Coturnix japonica: one gene and its partner. The protein of the gene in region 1 interacts with the protein of each later gene in a biochemical or structural test. Links are inferred from orthologs where the notes say so. Each region holds a gene or a part of one and is shown on either strand. Other genes may lie near its edges.

Evidence for each region. The genes of interacting proteins can lie anywhere in the genome.
Region 2: the proteins of NGF (region 1) and NGFR form a complex in vitro, tested with the Homo sapiens proteins (2 studies listed by BioGRID and IntAct, with this or other methods). The link is inferred for Coturnix japonica from reciprocal best matches to the Homo sapiens genes NGF and NGFR.

What each region holds. Positions count from the first base shown.
Region 1 is NC_029541.1:3,979,246-3,982,745, reverse strand, and holds part of NGF (beta-nerve growth factor), read left to right. Parts: intron 1-101; 5' UTR 102-173; intron 174-866; 5' UTR 867-1,006; intron 1,007-3,349; 5' UTR 3,350-3,388; coding exon 3,389-3,500. UniProt on the Homo sapiens protein: Nerve growth factor is important for the development and maintenance of the sympathetic and sensory nervous systems.
Region 2 is NC_029542.1:2,822,223-2,826,522, reverse strand, and holds the start of NGFR (tumor necrosis factor receptor superfamily member 16), read left to right. Parts: upstream 1-1,500; 5' UTR 1,501-1,556; coding exon 1,557-1,598; exon of another isoform or gene 1,599-2,835; intron 2,836-4,300. UniProt on the Homo sapiens protein: Low affinity receptor which can bind to NGF, BDNF, NTF3, and NTF4. Forms a heterodimeric receptor with SORCS2 that binds the precursor forms of NGF, BDNF and NTF3 with high affinity, and has much lower affinity for mature NGF and BDNF.

The DNA of each region.
Region 1 (3,500 bases):
AATGCAATGAGCACATCACACGAGCTTGGGAGGTCTCAGATTTATGAGAACTGGATATCCTGTGTGATGTCTCATATGCACTCTTTATTTCTTTCCATCAGAACTATCCTGTAGATATTATAAATGCCTGTGTGGTCCTGGCAGACCTGCTTCAGGTGGCTCTACTTGAGCAGGTGGGTTGATCAGATGGAGGGAAGGATTAGATTGGATACTGGGGAAGTTCTTCATAGAGGGCAATGAGGTCTGTCCAGCTGCCCTGGAGGTGTTCAGGGCCAGGTTGGATGGGCCCTGGGCTGGTGACAGATATGGAGGTTGGTGGCCCTGCATGTGGTGGGGATTTGGAACTCAGTGATCCCTGGGGCCCCTTCCAACCCAAGCCATTCTATGAGATGGCCTCTGGAGGTGCCTTCCAACCTAAACCATCCAGTGGTTTTGTCTCTGGTTTTGAGTGATTACTGACAACATGCGGTCTCATCACTTGTAACCAGAATTGCCTTCAAGATGAAGATGGGAGGTTTGAATACTCATTTGTCCATACCTGTTATGCAAACTGAGCTACATTAGCAAGTATTGCTTTGTTTATGCTGCATTACTCCTGCTTACAGTGAGCCTGTAAGATGCCTGAGAGGGATTGGGGACAGTGGATAATTAAGAAGGGTCTTGTAAAGGAGCTGAATAAGGTATCTTGTCTTACAGTCATGCTGCTTGTGAAAGACAAGATTGGCACTTTAGACAATTACCAGTGAAAAAGGCACAGCTCAGAGAGTTGAGAGTGGATTTGTCCCTGTACTCCTGCAATGCAGTAGGGAAGGGTACTGAAATCATGTATTTGCTGGCTATTTACTGAAACATACTTTTAATTCTAGCTGAACACTGAGTAAGCAACTCCCAGACTGAACTACGCAGCCAACGTGGCCCGATGGCATGCTGCAGCCAACCCCAGCTCAGCATCTGGATGAAATAAAGACCTTCCTCAGGAGCAGCTTTTTGTGCAATATACTCAGAGGTAAGGACAGAACACATAGAGGAACCATGAAACCTTGAATTACCAGCATCACACAGCAGTCCAAACATCTTTACCAGGGGAAGAGTTTGTATGAGAGCAGGTAGCAAGAGATCTGATGAACAAATGAGGGAAGGATTAAAAAGCAATTGATCTGTCTTCTGAAAAGAGAAGATAAGGGCAGGTTGCATTTAATACTCTTATTTTTTGGAAATGCTTAATTCTTTGACATATTAAATAAGCTGCATCACTGTTATCTTCTAGCTAGCTATTGTTTGGCCAATAGGGGAGCTCCCACGTACCCCTTCCCATATTCTGCCTCCAGACAGGCCCTTTGTGGAAAATGATTTCTTACAATGAGAGATAATTGAGTTAGAAGTCACAGGGCTCATTAAATATCCTCCGCTTTCGTACAGCGGTTGTGTTTGTGGTATTGAAAGGATTGTGGTAACAGTCATAGCCCACATCACAAAGGCTGCAGTGCCAGCACTGGTACTGATGTGCATCTCCATGGAAGCTCAGGTGGCTGCACTGGGTGGGAACTGTGAACACTTTGCAAAGAGCACCATGGAGGAGTCCAGTAGGTAAATACAGAATGAAGTTAGAAACAACTCCCTAAAACAGCCTGTAAAATACCTCCACATCAGCAAGAGTCACAGTCCCAACAGTCTTAAGGCATGCCCTAAAATGTTAATTCTTCTGCTGGCATTGTCAGTGAGACTAATCCACTTTTTGAAGCTGTTTTCTTAATTATTTTCTACTAATGTAATAATAAAAGATTCAGTTTGGAATCTTCAGGAAAATACCACATATCCCAGATACATTTGCTTGCGTCTGGGCCACGATCCCATAGAATGCTTTGCCAGAAGGACAGGAAATACAAAGAAAGATGTAAAATATGCAACCTAAGAAGCTCAGAGAAAAAAAGTATGGCAGAAAATCAGGACAGAGCTCTTTGCTGGCATTGCTATGCCTCCATTCTATACAAGGGGATAATAATAACGGGTATTATGCATAAACACGATAGGCTGAGGCTGTTCTGGCATGTCTGAATTGCGCCTGGAGTTTGTTCTGCAAACCTTTTCCATTAACATTTCTGTTGGAAAAGCGAACTTTTTAGAGATGCAGTGACCCATCTGATTTCAATTTGGCTGCTGAACGAGGGGTTACTCTTTGAATTGTGCATAGCCAAGCTATTGAGCTACACCTAGTTCTATTTCCTTGTGCAGATGATGATGGCTGCTCAAGTAGGAGCAGCATGTGAGCAAGCAGCGACCCACAGCCTTCTTTTATGTAAATTAAAGTAGCTGGAACAGTAAGGACTTCCTCTGTGAGAGGCATTGGACTCCTAACCATTCTATCATCCCTAATTCTTCCAGTCCAAAGGAAGAATATCATCCCCATGATGCAGAGACTTGTAGCATCTCTTTAGTCTATTTGGCTTGTCCTGCTGGTTTCTTAAGCCCTGCGCACAAATACAGCCACAGCTGTTTATTTCATTGAGATAAGAAGTACCCACACAGGACTGTGGTACATATCAGGGCTCTGCATTTTCTACAGTGCATCCTAGTAAAGACAAAGCTTTAGTGCTGCTTCAAACTTTGCTTAGAGAAAGCTGAGCAGGAAGGGGTGAAGTCAGTGACTGAAGTCAACAGTGACTGACCCAAACCCAGAAAAACATCAGGACATGCTGGGAAATCACAGTGGAATTGCAGAGCCTGATTCTTCTTCTTGAAAAGCCCTGTTTGTCCAGTGGGTGTGAGGCTGCCTGCTGGCTGGACGCTGCAATTCAGGGCCAGCTGAGGCATGTCATGCAAACAGAGCACCAAGACAAGGGAGGAGCCTGTATTGATAGGGTTTTATTTATTATTATTTTTTTCCTGTTTACATCCTGTCTGTACCTAATGGTTCTTCACAGAGGAACACAATGCCAGCCCTTCGCTGCAATCTCAGATGGTGTTTTCAGTGCCTCTGCTGATGATTTGTTCCCTAGCATATGGCTGATTTAGTCAACACATGGCAGTTACCTAATAAAGTATTACTGCTGCTGGTGTTCCAGCATAATATTGTTCTTAGAGATATTTTAGATATTTGTCCCACATTTTTCCACACCCAAACAGATGTGCACATTCTCCAGGCTACAGGAATACTAGCACTCACTTTGGGTCTGCTATACAGGGACATTTGTGCAACTTCTTGCTCGTGGCACTGAGAAGAGGACGGTGTGTTCCTCTGTGCCCAGTACTGTGACCATAATGGTTTTAGCTATGCTCTACCTTAGATACCAACCAGAAATAGCCTGTCACCCATGGTGCTCCTATGTAATACCCATATTTGTCCTAATAGGCAGCCTGAACTTGGACAAATCCCATCTGCCCTTGTGACATGAGATGTCTGAGCTCTTCTGGGAAGGAGCGTGGGCTTTATCTGCCCCAAATCAGCAATGTGGTGCGTCCCGAAAGGGCAGGTGGGATAGATGGAGGCTGCTGGAGGCTGC
Region 2 (4,300 bases), on another chromosome or scaffold:
GTGTCATAAGACCCAAGCTGCTCCCTCAGCTGTGTCCAGCTCTGCCAGATGTCCACAAGCAGCTTTGCCCCATTGCCAATCATCCAAGCACTGAAAAGGGTGAGGGATGATTGGCTCATGGTGGGTGGCAGCCATCCCATCCCATCCCATCCCATCCCATCCCATCCCATCCCATCCCATCCCCACATCCAGTCTCTGTGCACGCTGCCCTGTCCCCACCTGGCCCTGAACCCATCACCATGTGGCTCACATGTGTTCCCACGCTGCCTCATTGGAGAACAAACAGCAGCTTTGGCTTTGGGTTAATCTTATTTAAAGAGGGACTTTCCTCAAAGCCGCCCACAGGAGCTGCCAGCCATACAAGCATCACAGATCATATACTCATAGAGTCATTAAGGTTAGGAGCTCGCTGCTCAGGAAGGAATCCAGCTTGTGTCTGCCAACAGGACAACATCGTGATCCCAACACAGTAAAGCTGAGAGATGGACAGCAGCAGGGTGACAGAGACAGACCCACAGACACCACTGCTCCATCCTATGCTAGGTGAAAGCACTGGGGGCAGAGTGACGTAAGCAGGGGGCGAAGGAATCCTTCATCCCTCCCAACCCCGGCGCCAGCATTTCTGGGCAGCCTCCAGCAAACCTTCTCACCAAAGCCACACAAAACTCGCTGCATATTTTTTCCAACAAACCTCACAAAGAGCGTTTTTGGTGCTGACACACCAAGGCAGGAGCCAAACTGAGCTGGGGAAAGGCCATGACATTTCCAGCTCCGCTCCCTGACACGCAGCTTGAGTTCACAACCACGGGGCTGGGGCTGGGCAGGATGGGGACAGAGCAGCTCTGTGATGGAGTGGAAGCACTGGGGAGCAGCACACGTTGGGGCTGTAGGACAGGAAGGATGTCAATGTGCTATTTTACACCTGCGGGTGGAAATACAAACAGGAGCAGGTGGCTTTGTGCACTGCAGCCTCTCCTGCGGTGACAAAGGGAAATTCTCTTTGTCACCGGGATTGCTGTGACAATGCTGAGTTTGAGTTTGAGTCCTGGGGATGTTACCTGTGGGATGCTGTCTCTTGGCTGTGCAGCCAGAGGGGATCTGGTCACCCCATCCCAGCTACAGCCTGGAGCCTCGCTCTGTTCTTATAATTAACGAACCCATTTGCTCACCCATCATGAGGACCGTGCTGGTGAAGGGCTGGAGCGAGGTGTGCGGAGATGGATGGACGTGGGTGTGTGAGAGACGGACAGGCAGACAGACAGACGACAGGGAAGAGTGTGTGGGGACAGACGGACGAGAATCATTGGAGGGTGGAGGGGTCGGCTGGATTGAGACCAAACACACCCGAAAACGTTTCGTGGGTGGGCGGTGGGTGCTGGGGAGGGGTCCGGGCTTTGTGTGCCGACAGAGGAGGGTGCTGGCTCGGCTGCTCGCCGTGATGCTCCGGGGGCGGAGAGGAGGAGGAGGAGGGACTTGCAGCCCTTTTCTGGTGCTGCCGAGACGGCGGGCGGCAGAGGGAGGGCAGCCCGGGGGATGCGAGGTGGCCCCGGAGCACCATGGCCGGGTTCGTACCGCTGCTGCTGCTCCTGCTGCCGACGGTGAGTGAGGGGCTGAGGGCTAAGCCGGGGGGGGTCCGGACACAGAGGGGAATGGGCATGGACAGCACGGACTGTCCCGGTCCTGCTGGGATGGAGGGGTACCATGGGACTGTGGGGTTCTGCTCGGAGGGTCCCGGGGGTATCGGGAGTGGGAGTGTCAATTGTATGGGGATGGAGGGTCCCAGAAGGTTTGGGTGCATAGGGAGAGGAGTGGTGATGTGAGTGGTGGGGGGAACACCGTAGGGATTTCTCGCTCAGCCCCTCATGTTCCGCTGACACCGAGCTGAGCTCTGCCTTCCCTTTTCTCCATAGGAGGTTATGGGAATAAAGCAGCCCCACCTCTGTGCCCCCACCTCCTGAACCCCACACCTTCAAAGACTCCCACAGACCTTCCCTTCCTGGCTCCAAACTCACTGCCCAGCACGAAGGGCAAAGCCCCAGGGATGGGCACAGCCTCAGCCTGCGCTGGAGACAAAACTTCAGAGCAAGGGAAACCAGGGAAGAAGGAGAGTCCCAGAAAAGGGGATAAGGGGACGCACTGAGCCACCTGGGGCAGAAATGGGGCTTTTGCTGCTGGAGGATGTGTGGGGTCCCAGAGGGCTCAGTGGGCAGCAGGACGCTGTAGGGTAGGGCATTAAAGCTGCTGCTTCAGCAGGCTCATGTAGAGACTGAGGGGGAGAATGGTGTGGGTGGCTCATGGCTCCAAGTTGGGTTTGGTGTCCCCCATTTCCCACAGCTAACCCCACAGGTCTGGGCTGCCCTTAGGGTTGCACCTGCCAAGCCCATCCAGCCCCATAGAGATCTGGGGTAGTTGGAAACCTGCTGTTCCTCTGAGCCCCAAGCGGGGCAGGTCCAAATGTGCACTCGCAGCTGTGGGCTGTATCCCCAGCACCCCATTGCCACAGCTCCTTACCTGCACTGCTCAGACTAGAGCTGGGTCAGGGGAGGAGGCAGAGCCCTGTGGGACCCACACGGCTCAGACGTGACTCTCCCACTGCCCAAAGTTTGGGGAGTGCTGGGATGCGGATCTTCAGCCTTTTCTAGACAGGTTGCTCCGCCAAAATACACAGAACCCGTCTGTCAGCCTTGCGGGCCGTTCGGATCCAGGCTTGCCGCTGGGCCCGTCTCCAGCTGAAGCATTGCTGCCGTTCCCCGTTTCAGAGCAGCTCAGCTTTCCGTGCCAGTGTTTGGGTGATGATGGTGCTGAGCTGCGCACATCTTCCTCCAAGGCCACCCCCTGTAGGGCAAGGGAACACCAAAACGACTCCAAAAGCAATTAAAAGCTTTCAAAGGTGTTGCTCGCACCCTCAGCGCTTCCCCCCGTGCCCTCCCCTCTCCTCCCCCCTCCCCAACCCCAGTCCAGCTGTCAAAATGCTTTATGGTGTTAATACCTGTGGCTTTGTCAACGGGAGTTGTGTTAATAACATGCACATTTCAGCGGGCTAATGCAGACCATGTGCCCCTCTTATAAGCGTGTTAATCTTTATGGATGTTTCAGCGCTTGAGATGTAGAAAGGGAAACGTAGGCGGGGAGGTTTGGGGGGTGAGGGGTGGGGGGGTGCAGCATCTGGGGCTGGAAGGTGCGTTTTCCGCATCATTTAGAAACACGGAGGGTAGGACAACCCTACGGGGAGGGGACCGTGGAGTGTTGGACAACTAGGGGAGGTCGGGGGGGGGGGGTCCGGTTTGGCACAGAGGAAACAGCGTAACCGGGTTCTGTCCCTGTGGGTTTTGCTTCGCAGCTGCCTCAGGCGCGGGCGGCGTGGGAGAGCTGGCTGCTGCGGCCCCAGCTGCACCGCTCCGGCCTTCCCAACACTATTTATAGCCAAGTTCAGATGCTCCCCTCTTCCCCAAACCCTCCCGAGCAGGAGAACATGCTGCAGGTGCTGGGGAAAAGGAAGCAGCATGGAGAGCTCCAGCCCCACTCTGCCACGCGCATCGCTGCTGCCTGGAGCCGTCCCTGTTGCAAAGAGAGCCCTTTGCTCCCCCCCACTCCTATTTCCAAGGGGGTGTTTCCATTTGGGGGGTGTTGGGAGGGTCCCTCCGTGCCAAGCATCCCACCCGTGTAGCTGGGGCTGGGTGCCAACACGGGCTGGCAAAGCAGCGCAGAAGGAGAACGCACGCTTCCAAGAGAAGGGTAATTGGAGCACTTTGTCATTCAGATGCCTATAATTGGCGCTCCATTGTCTCTCTGGCCGGGCCGGCTGATGCCGGTTGATGCGCCTATGAGTTCATAACACCGCATTGTGCAGAGCGGCGGCCAAAGGGGCTGACGAGGCGGCCAGATGAACGGGGACGTGGAGCTCCTCCGCCTCCTGGAGAGTTTCTTCCCCTCCAAAATCAGCCTTAACTTGGTGGCAAAGGGACGGTTCCCCCCCCCGAAAGGAGCCCATCCCCGACAGCAGCCTTCCCATCGAGTACAGTGGACCCGAGTGTGAGCACACACTGACCCTGGATGGTCACAGCTGCTGCTGTTGCTGTCCCTTCGGGTGGCCCCAGTTCTGAGCACTGCTCTGCCTCCTCACTGCCTCATTCAGCAGCCCAACAGCACCATCTGTCCCGACACCATCTGCCCCATCCTCTTTCCTTACAAACTCATCCCAGCTGCCACACCAGGAACTTTGGGACCCTCCAGACTGTAAGCAGGAGGAGCAAAGCCAGCCCCACACATCACCCCTGGCCAAGGAGTGCACTGGGGAATG